2 linked regions of the Stegostoma tigrinum genome follow. The main gene of each other region encodes a partner of the protein of the gene in region 2 in a complex. Links are inferred from orthologs where the notes say so. Each region holds a gene or a part of one and is shown on either strand. Other genes may lie near its edges.

Region 1 (7,785 bases), on a different chromosome or scaffold from region 2:
ATGCCCTAGTAACGTTAAGACTGCAACAGACACATTTAACAAACCTGTCTGCTCTTTCACGAGTACCAGCCACTATCTCTGGATGAGATGGCCTATATAAATGATTTGGATGTGAATATAGAAGGTACGGTTCATAATTTGCACACGACACTAAAAATAGTGTACAGTGAAGAGGGTTACCTCAGTACAATGGGACCTTCATCTGATGGGGTTTAAATCTACATAAATGCGAGGTGTGGGCATGGCTTTTACACTTAATGATAAGGTCCTGAGGAGTGTTGCCAAACAAAGACTCCTTGGAGTGCAGCTTCAGAGTTCCACAAACGCACATTGACAGGGTAGTGAAGGCGGTGCTTGGCATGTTTCCCTTTGTTGGTCAATGCAATCAGTATCAGAGTTGGGAGATCATGTTGTGGCTGTACAAGATATTGGTTAGGAGACTTTTGGAACACTGCATTCAATTCTGGTGTCCATTGATGTTGTTAAACTTTAAAAGCTGTGTGGAAAAGATTTGTGAGGACGCTGCCATGGTTGGCAGGTTTGAGCTACAGGGAGAGACTTAATAGACTGGGGCTATTTTTACCCCCAAGCAACAGAGGCTGCCAGGTGGCCTAGCATAAGTTTATAAAATCATGAGATGCTCGGATAGAGTGAACAGCCAAAGTCTTTTCCACTTGGTGGAAGAGTCCAAAACTAGGGGGCTTAGGTTTAAGTGAGAGGGGAAAGATTTCAAAGGGCCCTTAGGGGAAGCATTTTCACACAGACAGTGGTGTGTAAATGAAAATGAACTGCCAGTGGACGCAGTGGAGGCTGGTACAATTGCAACATTTAAAAGGCATCCGGATGGGTATACAAATAGGAAGGATTTAGAAGGACATGGGCCAAAACACTGGCAAATGGGACTAGATTAATTTAAGATACCTAGTCTGCATAAATGAGTTGGACCAAAGGGTCTGTTTCAATGCTGTATATGTCCACTTAGGCCCTCGAGACCTTAGAAAAGAATAAAGCTCCCAAAAGCAACAGGTTACTGGCCAAGTCCTATTCAGTGCTGTGGGACTGGATCGTCGAGGACTTGCTAGAGATGTGTGACAATATGGTTCTGGCAGATAGCACATGTGAGTCCTTAAGATATATCACCCTCATCTACAAGTGGAAGGGGGAAAGAGAGAGAGAACTTGAAATAGGCAACCCATTTCACGGCTGCATGCAAATTATAAAATCCTGTGTCTAATGTCATCACCAGCCGAGTCAGGTCTGCTCTGGATTTGGCAATTCACCTTAACAAACTTGTAGTACTGTACCAGGCAGGATGATCCCTGTATTCCTGAGGAATGCAATGCTGTCAATCACGTACGAACAGGACAGGTGGGCAGGGACTGTGTTCACAGGGACACTATTTACAAAGTCTGGGTACCCAACGCTTCCCACACCCTGATGGCCGCCTTCATGTGTGGCTCCATCATACTGTGCATAGACCCTTGATCACAAACACCAAGTGTCACTACATACTGGGGTTCTAACTGTCCCTAATGCTACAAGGGATCAGCTTAGCCTTATTAATGTGGATTGCTCGAAGGAGTTGGACCGTTCAGTACCACCTGTCCCTCATAGGAAAGGATTTGCAAAGGAAAACACCATTGACCACAAGTCCATTAGGCAGTGGTCAGCATGTAACATCCTCCGCTGAAAAAGGAGACAGTTCATCCTGTCAGGTGGTTTCCTGAGCAGACTGTTAAAGTCACTTGGTAGAATGCCTCAAAAGCATAATTGTCAGACAAGTATCAAGACATAGCTTGAGGGCACTGTCCATCAGATCCTTCAAGTAAGTCTGATGAAGGGTCTAGGCCCGAAACATCAGCTTTTGTGCTCCTGAGATGCTGCTGGGCCTGCTGTGTTCATCCAGCCCCACATTTTATTATCTTGGATTCTCCAGCATCTGCAGTTCCCATTATCACTCTACACTACAACATGCTGCCCTTGAAGTGGCAGCACAAAGTGGGGGAAGAAGGGGTGAATAAACTGTCACACATCTCTGTGATGCCTTTGCAAAGGAGGCCTGGACAGCAATGCAGGGATTTCTTTTTCATCAAGGTTCATCCTGAGCACTCCAAGATACAAGACCCCATTCTCTATAGACAGTCCCTCATGTCAAAGACCAAGGCAAGCACTGACTACACATGGAAGACACAATCAACATAACTCAGTGAAAGACTCTTTGGTTTGCCTAAAACATGTTGGTATTCTCATGCAAAGAACTGAGTACTGAAGACTGAAACAATCCAAGCTGCAGTATTACAGGCTGAGGAACACACTAAACACACCTTGGGACAGCTGCCAGAAGGCACAGTGAGAAAAGGTCACCGTCTAATGTCTTTCTGCAAACTGAAACAGAAGCCCGTTAAGCTGGTAGACCCCTTTAATCCATTAAAAGGTAAGTACTTTCTTCCTGCAAGAGGTAAAAATGTTACTTTCAACTGCACAGTAGCTCTGTAGGACATAATTCCAGTGTATCATTGTTTGTTTCTTCATTGGCAAAATTATACAGAACAGAATGTTAAACTGTGTTTGTACTTATACTTTATTCACAAAAACAAGTTATATTTTTGCTATTAAAAAAGTCTTGCGCTCTCTCTCTCTCGCACTCCTGTAATGTTCGAGGAGTTTCCAGCACTGCACTGTGCTCCGAAATAAAATCACGATTCCACTCATTTAGCAGGAGCTCACACAGGACTAAGGCAGACACTCCACCCTGCCCACGCATCATTCATATCACACTCGGATAAATTCCCGAGCAACGGAGACACAGGCCTAAAGCCCAATATCCGGCGACAAGCTTCAAACTCGGCACTCGGCCGGCCGTCAATGGCACCATTACTAACAATGTTCCCAACGGCCACACTCAAACCAGCTCCTACCGCCTCCCTCGCCAGGGCCTAGTACCCGTCCACATGGCGATTCCCTGAGACTCACCCAACAGCTCCCCGGCACCCTGGATCGTTCCCAACAACGCATGCGCAGCTCTTCCAGCGGGGGAAGAGAAAACGCAGTGTTTATTCACGTGATCCCTGACGTCAAAGAACCTACGGGAGCAGAAAGGCACGTGGCTGTAGCCGGTTTTTGGGTTATCCTGCAAAGTTGGGTGCTGGTGAAGAATCATTGATCCAGCGATTTGCAGATACATTTACACATGACGTTACATGAAAGAAATATCATTTCATATCATATCATACCATTCTGAATATGTGACTCGTGACCTATCCCGATAGATTTCCTACATTCTATTTGTTACTAAAAATACAATGTGCTGTAGATATAAGAACTTGTCAATAAACCTATTTTTAACATTTGTATTCCTGTATTATGCTGCAAATATTCACTTAGACAAATCTCACCAGTCTTACACACATACGAAAAGGAGACGCGTAGTGCCGCTGCTATAAAGTGTGGAGCTGGATGAACACAGCAGGCCAAGCAGTATCTAAGGAGCACAAAAGCTGACGTTTTGGGCCTAGACCCTTCATCAGAAAAAGGGTCTAGGCCTGAAACATCAGCTTTTGTGCTCCTAAGATGCTGCTTGGCCTGCTGTGTTCATCCAGCTCCACACTTTGTTATCTCGGATTCTCCAGCATCTGAGTTCCCATTATCTCTGAGCATAATGCCATTGCCCCCAGTCTGTTCGTCCATTCCACATGAATGAATGAATGATTTTAATTCCTGATTTACAGCATCCGCAGTTTTTTCTATTTTTAATGATTTTAATTGTGTATTTTACAGTGAGAAAACAGCAAAATACAGTGAAAAGCTTTTCTACCGTCACCATGATCCAGTGCCTTAATAAATAGTTTAAGAATAAGAAAAACATTAGATATAGTTTAAACAGACTCCATCAGTCCTTAGACAGCTCACCATTAACATTGCCTGTACCGCCATCCCTCTTTCACCACCTCGCCACCGCCTATGAGATGCCATCTATGCTACTCTTCAGGCTCCATCTTTCACCACTGGGTCTATTCTCCTCCGCCACCACTCCGACAGACCCACCAATGTCAGAGTCGCGTCTTTCGCTGCTGGGCCCATCTCATCAATGTGGCCATGATGCCCTTCCACTACCACTTCCCTGCCACCAGCAACGGATCCAACCAACCATGAAGATACAGACACTCAGGCACCATCTTTAGCTGCTGGGCCTACCTCACCAACACCTCAGTCAATATAGTAGCTGCCAATTCCAATGGTAGATCCCGTGCTCACCCCAGAAACATAAGTGAAGGCTCATGCAAATGTTATAGACCAGAGGAAATCCTTTCAAAATGTAATAACAAGATAGCCTGAGCCTTAACCTTTTCTTATTTTAAAGGCATGTGTAAGGCATTGTGTTCCAGATGCAATTCAATTGGTCAAACTACTTGACTTAAAGCAAAACATACTTTATTTTTATTCTACAGTTAAAATACAGACAAAATAAAAGTAAAAGAGTTAGCTTATCAAAATGCTTAACAAAATAATCTATGTATATTAATTACCACTAATTAACTGTTCTAATGTAGTAACATCCCACTAACACACTCTTGGCAAAGACAAATTCAGTAAAATAGGCTTTGCCTCACATGCAATTCTAGCAGTAGGAAGAGAACCCCAGCTTTTAGTTTTAACAGAGAGAGGAATAAGAGCTTTCACATCCAGCTTCAAGACCCCAGCAACTGCAGAAAGCTAAAACAATAAATCCTGGTTCTATGGGAGCTTGACTCCACCTATTTAGGCTGTTTCTATTGTGCCAACTTTAAAAATAAATTAAAGCCCTCACAAGCTGTTTACTTTATTGGCTCTGAGCAGACCATTCAGTATCTGTTTCAACCTTTATTTGTTAAAAAAAACGACAAAGTGCAATACTTAAAGCCATAGTATCAACACATGAGCCCTGGTCATATCTCACTCACTCACTCATTGTTACAAGGTCCGCACTGAGCTCACTCACTGCCACCATAGAACATTACAGCACAGTACAGGCCCTTCGGCCCTCGACCACCAGTCTGCACTGAGATCTCTTGCCACTGCCAATGCCATCTGAGTTCAGGACAAGAGGTAAGTAAAGAAACAGAGAAGAAAAAGAAACCAGAACACAGAATCAAAAAAAAAGAAAAGAAAAGCATTCAAACTGCATGAGCTCTGGCTCAGAAGCCCTGCTCTGCTGTCCTCTTGATCAACTGCCTCAAGTGGACTTTTACAGACCACTCGACATAATCCTTGATTACTGGAGATTGAAAAGCTGTATATCTCAGCCATAAAAATACCCCTGTCAAAATGGAGCATCCCCAATGCTCCACACTAGAGAATCATAAAGTAATGCAATGCTTTAAGTGAAGAAATGCATTTTCATTTCAATACTAAATGATCAACACCTTACCCTGAGAAAGTGTTTGTGTTCCAGATTCCACAGCCAAAATAAAACTTCATCAGTCAATAACCACTTGTGCCCCGTTGAAAATGTAGAACAAGGAGCAACAAAGAACAATACAGCACAGGAACAGGCCCTTTGGTCCTCCAACCCTGCGCTACCATGTTTGCCCTTCCATACTAAAACAGGCTTCAATTACAGGATCCGTACCGCTGTTTTCCCTTTCTATTCATATATTCACCCAGGTGCTTCTTGAATGTTGCTATTGTGTCTGCTTCCAACACCTGCTCTGGCAACATGTTCCAGGCACTCAACACCCTTTGTGTGACAAACCTGCCTTGCACATCTCTTTTAAACTTGCCCTGTGCACCTTGAGCCTGTGTCCCTAGTAATTGACTTCTCCGTCCTGGGAAAAAGCCTCATAATTTTCATTATCTCCGTGCCATGCCTAAACTACTTTTAGGTTGCCTCTCGATCTCCTGCATTCAAGTGAAGACAAACCCAGTCTATCCAACCTTTCTTCATAGCTAAAATCCCCCATACCAGGCAACATCCTGGTAAACTTTTTCTGAGCCGTCTCCAAAGCATCCACATCCTTTTGGTAGTGTGATAACTAGAACTATAGGCAATATTCCTAGTGTGGCCTCATTAAAGTTTTATGAAGCTACAGTATAACTTGTCTATCCTTATACCCAGTGCCCTTTCCAGTGAAGGCAAGCATGCCATAAGTCTTTTTTTTATTTCCTTATCTAACTGTGCTGCTGCCTTCAGGGATCTGTGGACCTGCACACCCAGATCCCTCTGCATATCAATACTCCTAAGGGTCCTGCCATTCACTGTATAATTTCCAACTGTACTTAACCTTCCAAAATGCATCCACCCCACATTTGTCAGGATTAAACTCTATCTGCCACTTTTCTGCCTATGCCTCCAGCTGATCCATATCCTGCTGTATCCTCACTATCTGCACCAATCTTTGTATTATCTGCACATTGGCTATTCTGTAGATCTCTGGGACTTCACCTGTGGCCAAAGAGGATACAGATATATCTATCAATGCTCCAGCAATTTGTTCTCTTGCCTTCCTCAATATTCTGGGATAGACTTCATCAGGACCTAGGGACTTATCTACCATAATACTGTAAGATGCACAGCACTCTTCAATTTTGATAACAAGTTGGTTTAGAAACAGGACACTCCCTTCCTTGAGATCATCCTCCACCAATTCTTTCTCTTTGGTGAATACTGACAGAAAGTTTCCATTTAGAACCTTACCTATCTCTTCTGGCTCCACACATAGATTCCCTCTTTTGTCTTTGAGTGGTGTGATCCTTTCCCCGGCTACCCTTCTTGTTTTTAATATATAAATATAAAATAACTTGGGATTCTCCTTAATCCTGTTTGCTGAAGACTTTTTGTGGCTCCTTTCAGCCCTTCTAATTACTTGTTTAAGTTTTTTTCCTACCTTTCTTATATACTTCAAGGGCTTTGTCAATTCCCATCCTCCAAGGCCTTAGGTATGCTTCCTTTTCCTTTTTGACCAAAATCATAATATCCTTGGTCATCCAAAGTTCATGTAACTTGCCATACCTATCCTTCATTCTCGCTGGAACATGCCGCTCCTGAGCTCTAATCATCTGCTTTTTGAAATACTCCCAAATTCTTCCGTTCCTGCCTAATATTGTTGCAGTTCACCTTAACCCAATTCAACACCTTCATCCGAGGACTGCTGTTATTCCTATTCATGAGTATCTTGAAGATCACGGCATTATGGTGTCTACTCCACCACTGAAATGAACCACCACTGAAACGTCACTCACATGGCCAGCTCATTTCCCAAAAACAGGTCCAGTATAACCCTTTCCCTGTTTGGACCATTTACATATTGTGTTAAGAATCCCTCCCGAATAGTCCTTAAAAATTTTGCCCCATCCAAGCCCCCAGCACATAGTAAGTCCTGGTCAATATAGGGGAAGTTAAATTCAACCACCACAATAACCCTGCTGTTTTTACATCTTTCCAAAATCTATTTGCATATTCTCTCCTATATCTCCCAGCTGGCTGTAGGGAGGCCTGTAGTTTACTCCCAGCATTGTGATTTCACCTTTCCTATTCCTGAGTTCTACCCATATCCCCGAATCTCCTGATGTATCCTCCCTCTGTACAACTGTAAGATGCTCCATTGCCAGGTATGCAACTCCCCCCACCCCCTTTCCAGCTCCCTTTCTATCACACGTGAAATATCTAATGCCTAGGACAGTAAGCTGCCAGTCTTATTCCTCTTTCAGCCATGTCACTGTAATCGCCATAATGTCATAGTTCCAAGTAAAAAAGCTCTAAATTCATCTACTGTACTTATTATAATTCTCTTAAGGAAACATATGCAT
Region 2 (8,028 bases):
TGGGAAAGGTTTCTTCTTATCTATGCCCCTAATAATTTTTTGACCCCAATGAGGTATTTCCCCATAAATCCAGCAGAAAACAATTTATCCAGTTTATCTAACCTCTCTTCATAGCCGAAACTCTCCAACCTTATCTTCTCAAAAGGAGAATACCTGTTTCTCCAATGACCATAATCAAAATGGTGATTGAATAAGACCATTTGGCCCTCTGCGCTGGCTGTTTGATGGGAGAATACAGATTGTCCCACTTCCCAGCCATCTTTCCATAGTGCTGCATGTACCTCCTTTGCTGATAGTATTCTGTTTTCCTCTTGAATGCCTTGATCAAACCTGACCCCATTACACTTTCTGGGAAGAATTCCAGATCCTAACCACATTAAAAAGATTTTCCTTGTTTTGCCATTGCTGCTTTTGCTAATTACATTAAATCAGTGCCCTCTAAATCCTAATCAACTAATCACTCATTTCACCAAACTTCTATCTATAAATAGGCCTAGAGGTCTTTTGGATTACCGAAAGAACTGTGGATGCTGTAAATCAGGAACAAAAACAGAAATTGCTGGAAAAGTTTAGCAAAAGTCTGGCAGCATTCTTCACAGATGCTGCCAGACCTGCTGAGCTTTTCCAGCAACTTCTATCTTTGTGTCTTTTAGATTACTTTTGATTTGCTTCTGGATTTCTCCTCTAAACTTTCTAATTTCAGCCTAATTGTTAATTCTTTAACCACCTGACACTTATCAAGACCACACTTCTTTTTCCTCTTAATCCTTCATCTGGGCGCTTTAGATTTGTTTGTTTTAACTTTTCCCCTTCATAAGAATCTACCTTGTTGGTGTTCGCTTTTCTTTAAAGGGAGCCCCTGATTCAGTAACAGGATTGTCCGCATACCTTTGCTCCATTCTAAATCCATGAAAATTGTTTTTCCTCTGGTTATCGATTCTTACTCTGGTTTCTTCCTTGTTCTTCTCCATAGCCACCCTAAATCTTATGATACAATGATCACTGCCCTCAAAATATTCCCCAACTTGATCCATTTGGCTTACTTTATTTCCAAGAACTACGAGGCCGAACAGTGCTTCTTTCCTCCACGGACCAGAGCCATAAGTCTCATCAAAACATTCCTGAACATTTAAGACTCTTGCCCCTCACTTCCTTTTACACTCTTATGCTAACTTGTATTTAGATAATTCAAGCCCCTCATCATAACAACTGTCTAATTCTTATATCTCTCTGACTCCCTTGTAAATCTGCTCCTTTCTATCTTTTCCACAAGTTGGTGGCCTACAGAATATGTCTAGTCTGGTAAGGACATCTCCATTGTTTCTTAACTGTAACCCTTTAGAAAGGACATTATGGTATTCCAGATGGTGTACAAATATATTTCCAGGGTTCAAGTTCAGATTTGTGGATAGATGGAGAAGTTGTGTTCTTTCACCTTTAGGAAGAGAAGTTTGAGACAGGAGTTGATGGAGAATTTTAAAATCATATAGTGTCATTACATTCCTTTTTTCTCATTGCTCTCTGACTCATCATCACTTTTAATTTCTGAAAAACCAAAGTGCATTGAAAGAAAACCACTTTATGCAGCGAGTGGTTAGGATCTGGAATGCACTGGAAGCAGATTCCATCATGGCTTTCAAAGGGAACTGTACATTTCCCCCAAGAAAAAAAATACAGGGCTACAGTGAAAAGGCAAGGGAGTGGGACTGGATCAGTTGCTCTTGCAGCTGGCATGGGCACAAAAGTGGTCTCTTTTGGTGCTATAACCATTCTGTGCTCTCAGCCTATTAACCTTTTTTTTAAATTTTCTGCGTCCTCCCTTATCTGGCCCCTTACTGAAACAGCTTGCACACTCCATAACATTTTCTCAAACAGTATGCACAACGAAGTCACAGATCAATCCTCCTTATCTTCCAAACAATGTTGGAAACATGAGCACAAGAGGTTGCCTACTGGAACAAGTCAGCAACGGAACAAGTCCTTCAGTACTTAATGGGGTTAGTAAGAGCTCCTGTGGCGGAGTAGTAGTGTCGTAACTATGGGCCAAAAGACCTGAGTTAATTCCCACAGGCTCCAGAGATAGAACATAGAGCATTACAGCACAGTACAGGCCCTTCGGCCTTCGACGTTGTGCCGACCTGTCATACCGATCTCAAGCCCATCTAACCTATACTATTCCATGTACGTCCATATGCTTGTCCAATGATGACTTAAATGTACCTAAAGTTGACAAATCTACTACCGTTGCAGGCAAAGCGTTCCATTCCCTTATTACTCTCTGAGTAAAGAAACTAGCTCTGACATCTGTCCTATATCTTTCACCCCTCAATTTAAAGCTATGCCCCCTCGTGCTCGCCGTCACCATCCTAGGAAGAAGGCTCTCCCTATCCACCCTAGCTAACCCTCTGATTATTTTATATGTTTCAATTAAGTCACCTCTCAACCTTCTTCTCTCTAACGAAACCAGCCTCGTGTCAAAACCTGTCTGAATACATTTACAGATATTTTTAATCAATGGACCGCGAACAAGAATAGCTTCAATAGCCAGGTTTCAGATCTTAACTAAAGTAGAAGTGCACTAGGCACTATTTGAACAGTTTGAAATTAAGTGGCGATGAGAGAAGGCCAGAGAGTCATTTTGACACGAAACATGAATTGTTTCTCTCTCTCTCTCTCTCTCCACACATGGTGCCAAGCCTGCGAAGTTTCTCCAACACCTTCTGTTTCTATTTTAAGGTAAGAGGATTATAGTCAGGGGAGGATGCGCGTTGGTCCTGCGCAGGCGCGCTCACGTTGCTTAGGCCCCCGCCAAAGACAAATCCTCAGACTCCGGCAACCAGTCGACGACAGCGCGAGCCAAAATCGGTCCCCGAGCCCCGGGCAGCGGCGCGGCTGCCGGTCAAAGTTGTTACCTGCGAGTCCCTGACCTCCACCACCACATTCTCACTGCTCCAGCGAGCCGCCATGTCAGGAACGGAGCAGGGCACCAACAACAACAAACTACGTCATCACGTTGCACAGGACGTCCGACGCAGACCTGCGTGCCCCGCCGCCCGGGCCTGGTCCTTCCCGGAAGCAGAGAGCGGTGTGTCAGTGCTGTGTGTTCTGTGGATTCATCTCGTACTGGTGGCAATGATGAATCGTTGACAGTGTCTGAAGATCTTACTCTTCAATTAAACATTTATCCTCTACCCAGTCTGAATATTTTCACCTCCATTTTTTCCTCTGAGGTGTTAAATGCAATACAGACAAAGGAAACAAAGCTATATTATTAGCATTGCAAACTTTAAGCATGCCCAGCTATTTACATAATAATCATTATCCCTGTTGTGCACCGATATGACAGTATCGGCTGACAACATCCGCAACAGACGTGGTAAATTGAGAATGCTCGCCTTGAGCGCCACTGTGCTGAGATGTTCGCAGTGGTGGTATGTGTTTGGGTGTTTTGCTTGACTGTTACCTGTTCTCCATTCCTACTGTTCAACAAGATTCGACAAGACTCAAAAACAATTGTAGATTACAAAAGTGTGGAGCTGGATGAACAATTGTGACCTGTTAACCGAGTTATTTTGTTTCTGCCAGTATCTACCAGTTTATTTCCAAAAAATCACATTGCTGTAATAGTAGACTGTTCCAACGTCAGCAGAATTTATCAATTCGTAGGTGAGGGCAGGGCAAACAATGGACAAATCTCTGCACATCAGGCTTCTACTTCAGATCTTGTTTGTAAGAGTTCTTGTTCTGGTGTCAGATTGGGGAAGTTGGGACTCCTTGAAGAGAAAATCGAGAGGGAATGTATTATTTAGATATTCAACAACGAAAGAGATTTTAGGTATTTGACAAAAGAAGAAATGGCAACATGAGGAAAGTTTTTCGCGTGATTACGATTTGGAAAGCATTACCTTAGATTGTGGTGGAGAAAGATTCAATTAAGTTACTCAAGATGGAATTTGATTATGTCTGAAAAATAACATGCAAGACAGAGGATTGGCAGATGAATTTTGGCTTCAAAAGCCACCATGGACATGATGGGCTGAAAGACCTCTTTCAATTCTGTAATCTTTTGGACCCAAACAAATACAATCCTAATCACCAAACAAAGAAAGAGACCAGAAATACTCTGCAAGAAACAGGGCTGCTTTGGCTGCTCAGCACAATGTCGCAAGCATCAAAAAAGGACAGACGAGAATGAGGCTCAGGTGAATAGAAGCAGGAGTGAGTGGAGCAGTGACAATTATAAAGAGAGGAAAGAATGTCCAAAGACAAAGCTCGAAGAGGATTGCCATTACAGCACCTAACAAGTAATAAGTTTAAATTAAATGACGAGAAATGTTTTATCATTATTGGAATGGTGCATTGTATCCAGGTCAAAAATCTCAATTAGCTTAATGGACACCTGACAAAATCAGGAAGGAACAGTGTAAGTGCAGGGATGATCAACCTCAGTTTTGTGGTAAACCAGCGAGATGATTGTTCTCAGAGATAATGGGAACTGCAGATGCTGGAGAATCTGAGATAATAAGGTGTGGAGCTGGATGAACACAGCAGGCCAAGCAGCATCTTAGGAGCACAAAAGCTGATGTTTCGGGCCTAGACCCTTCATTAGAAAAAGGGGATGGGGAGAGGATTCCGAAAAAAATAGGGAGGGGGGAGGCGGACCGAAGATGGATAGAGGATAAGATAGGTGGAGAGGAGAGTATAGGTGGGGAGGTAGGGAGGAGATAGGTCAGTCCGGGGAGGACAGACAGGTCAAAGGGGCGGAATGAGGCTAGTAGGTAGGAAATGGAGGTGTGGCTTGAGGTGAGAGGAAGGGATAGATGAGAGAAAGGACAGGTTAGGGAGGCGGGGACGAGCTGGGCTGGTTTTGGGATGCAGTGCAAGGAGGGGAGATTTTGAAGCTTGTGAAATCCACATTGATACCATTGGGCTGCAGGGTTCCCAAGCGGAATATGAGTTGCTGTTCCTGCAACCTACGGGTGGCATCATTATGGAACTGCAGGAGGCCCAGGATGAACATGTCAACTAAGGAATGGGAGGTAGAGTTAAAGTGGTTCGCCACTGGGAGGTGCAGTTGTTTAATGCGAACCGAGCGGAGGTGTTCTGCAAAGCGGTCCCCAACCCTCTGCTTGGTTTCTCCAATGTAGTGGAAGCCACACCGGGTACAGGGGATACAATACACCACATTGGCGGATGTGCAGGTGAACATCTGCTTGATGTGGAATGTCTTCTTGGTGCCTGGGATGGGGGTGAGGGAGGAGGTGTGGCGGCAAGTGTAGCATTTCCTGCGGTTGCACGGAAAGTGCCGGGTGTGGTGGGGTTGGAGGGCAGTGTGGAGCGGACAAGGGAGTCACGGAGAGATTGGTCCCTCCGGAAGGCAGACAAGGGTGGGGATGCGATTGTTCTGCTTAAAACAGACAAGGTTTAGACAATATTTAGGCATGGTGAGAATCAGGTTAAACCATCACCAATCATCTCTCTCTTGTGAGAAAGTAACCGTATGATCTGCTGTGACTATGGCAACTTTATCTTTTTTATTGTTTAATTTTATGACAATTAATTGTGTCTGGCTTTGCTGACTGAGACGAGGTTTTGACAAAGTTATTCAGTGGTGTACCGCAAAGGTATAAATGCTGCCATGTGGACGTAATTTCATCAAGTAAACTTAAGATGAAAATAAGCAACATTTTGAGAATCTGATTAACTTTGAACCTTCTCATGTGAGTTGAAGGAAGGCAGTAAGGATTCATCTGACATCTTCAGATTAATATTTCCAGTTACATGTTTTCCATTGACAGACAAATTCTGGCTCAAATACTCACTGTCTAAAGATAAAAGCTTTCTGAAACTTTCGAAAGCAGTGTGTGATAGTATATCTTATCACTTTACTCTGAAACTGACCATTTTTGTATGGTCACTTATGATAAAATAGATTTGTGTTTTCAGTTCTGTTAAGTTACTTATTTTAAAAGAAGTCACTAAGTCATTTGGACCAGTGAACGAAACACATCAGTTCAAGCAAATCATGTGGTTTGAGTTAAACGCCTTCATCAGATACCCGGTGAATAATGAAACGTTTGCATGGAAACATAGAATACAGGAATAGGAGTGGGCCATTTGATCCTTTGAGCCTGCTCCACCAATCACTATGATTATGCTGATCATCCAACTCAGTACCCTATTCCTAGATAGTAGGAACTGCAAATGCTGGAGAATCTGAGATAACGAGGTGCAGAGCTGGATGAACACAGCAGGCCAAGCAGCATCAGAGGAGCAGGAAAGCTGGATGTGGCCGATGGTTGGAATAAGGAAACACTGTCAGGTTTTTTTTCCCAAGTCCCTGTGAGTTAACACTTATAATTCAGTCCCTTCAGCCCAACAAGCCCACACTGACTCTCAGAGCATCCCATTCAACCCACCCTCCTAAATAAACACCCCTGAACACTATGGGCAATTTAGCATGGCCAGTCCATCTAGCCTGCACATCTTTGGACTGTGGGAGGAAACCCAGACTAATATGGGGAGAATGTGCAAACGTCACACAGACAGTTGCCTGAGGTTAGAATTGAACCTGGGACCCTGATGCTGTGAGGCAGCAGTGCTAACCACTGAACCACTGTGCTACCCCTAATAGCTGGTTTGTTCATCATTTATATAAGCAATTTGGATAAGAATACGGGAAGCATAGTTAGTAAGTTTGCGAATGGCACCAAAATTGATGGTATTGTGGACAGTGAAGAAAGTTATTAAAGATTACAAAGAGATCTTGATCAATTGAGTCTTGGGATGAGGAGTGGAAGATGGAGTTTAATTTGGATAAACGTGAGGTGTTACATTTTGGTAAAACAACAAGGAAAGGACTTATACAATTAATGGTAGGGCCCGGAGTAGTGTTGCAGAACAGAGAGACCTAGGAGTGCAGGTATATCATTCTTTGAAATTTGCATCACGGGTAGACAGGGTAGCTAAGAAAGCATTTAGCATGCTTGCCTTCACTGCTCAGACCTTTGAGTATAGGAGTTGGGACATCATGTTGAGGTTGTACAGGATGTGGGTAAGGCCTCTTCTGGTGTACAATTTACAGTCCTGGTCATCCTCCTATAGGAAAGATATTAGGCAATCAGAGGGTGTTTAGGAAAGATTTACCAGGATGTTGCCAGAAATGAAGGGTTTCACTGATAAAAAATAAAGGGCTGGCTAGGTTGGGACTTTTTCCATGTGAGTGCAGGAGGTTGATGGGTGATGTTATAGAGGTTTATAAAATCGTGAGAGGCATAGGTAAGGTGAATAGCAAGGGTCATTTCCTGAGGGTGGAGTAATTCAAAACTCAGAGGCATATTTTTAAGGTGAGAGGAGAAAGTTTAAAAAAAGACATGAGGAGCAGCATTTTTACATGGAGAGTGGTTTGTGTGTGGAATGGCCAGAGGAAATAGTGGATGCAGGTAGAGTTATAATATTTAAAAGACATTTAGATAAGTACGTGAACAGGCAAGTTTCAAGGGATTATCAGCCAAACATAGGCAAGTGGGACTATTTTAGATTGGGGACATGGTTAGCGTTGACAAGTTGGACTGACGTGTAAGTTTCCATGCTGTATGCCTCGATGACTAATCTCCACGGCAAATAAAAGGAGAAGTAAAATTTATGGTCTTTCAAATCAAGTATCATTCTGGGAGCTGACTCATTCTGGGATCTGACATTTCCAGTACACGATCAACTAGTATTATAACAATGTTCCATGCTGCCTTTTAAATACAAAGTGATCGAATTAACCCAAATATTTGTCGAAACCTTGGTTGGACCACACCTAGAGTATTCTGTTCAGTTCTCGGCTCTGCACTTTAGGGAGGATAAAATGATCTTGGAAAGGGTGCAGCCCAGATTCATCAAAATGACAAGTAAAAGCAAAGTAATGTCGATGTTGGAGTTTGGAAATAAGAACAGAAAATACTGGAGAAACACAACAGGTCTTTGGAAGAAGAATCAACTGGACTGAAAATGTTAATTCTGTTTCTGTCACTGCAGATG

What was found. The genes of interacting proteins can lie anywhere in the genome.
Region 1: the proteins of wdr59 (region 2) and mios are in contact, whole or in part, in a cryo-EM structure (PDB 7UHY), measured with the Homo sapiens proteins. The link is inferred for Stegostoma tigrinum from reciprocal best matches to the Homo sapiens genes WDR59 and MIOS. Residues at the interface, in NP_085058.3 of Homo sapiens: Tyr871, Arg876, Glu877, Arg879, Ala880, Glu881, Leu883, Lys884, Pro889, Pro890, His893, Lys894, Gly895, Ile896, Glu897, Phe898, Gly899, Val900, Tyr901, Arg906, Glu908, Val909, Arg910, Thr912, Phe922, Gln923, Ala925, Ile926, Cys927, His928; in NP_001357005.1 of Homo sapiens: Asp705, Trp710, His711, Arg713, Ala714, Ile718, Ser721, Lys728, Pro729, Leu730, Ala731, Gln732, Val733, Phe734, Val735, Ser736, Cys737, Asn738, Phe739, Ile744, Lys780, Pro781, Leu782, Pro783, Leu787, Cys788, Leu789, Gly793, Pro795, Gln819.

Annotation. Positions count from the first base shown.
Region 1 is NC_081355.1:82,165,589-82,173,373, forward strand, and holds the start of mios (GATOR complex protein MIOS), read right to left. Parts: upstream 3,040-7,785; 5' UTR 2,974-3,039; intron 1-2,973. UniProt on the Homo sapiens protein: As a component of the GATOR2 complex, functions as an activator of the amino acid-sensing branch of the mTORC1 signaling pathway. The GATOR2 complex indirectly activates mTORC1 through the inhibition of the GATOR1 subcomplex.
Region 2 is NC_081369.1:11,740,220-11,748,247, forward strand, and holds the start of wdr59 (GATOR complex protein WDR59), read right to left. Parts: upstream 3,023-8,028; 5' UTR 2,967-3,022; coding exon 2,913-2,966; intron 1-2,912. Other genes in the region: mixed lineage kinase domain-like protein, read left to right, coding at 4,256-4,304. UniProt on the Homo sapiens protein: As a component of the GATOR2 complex, functions as an activator of the amino acid-sensing branch of the mTORC1 signaling pathway. The GATOR2 complex indirectly activates mTORC1 through the inhibition of the GATOR1 subcomplex.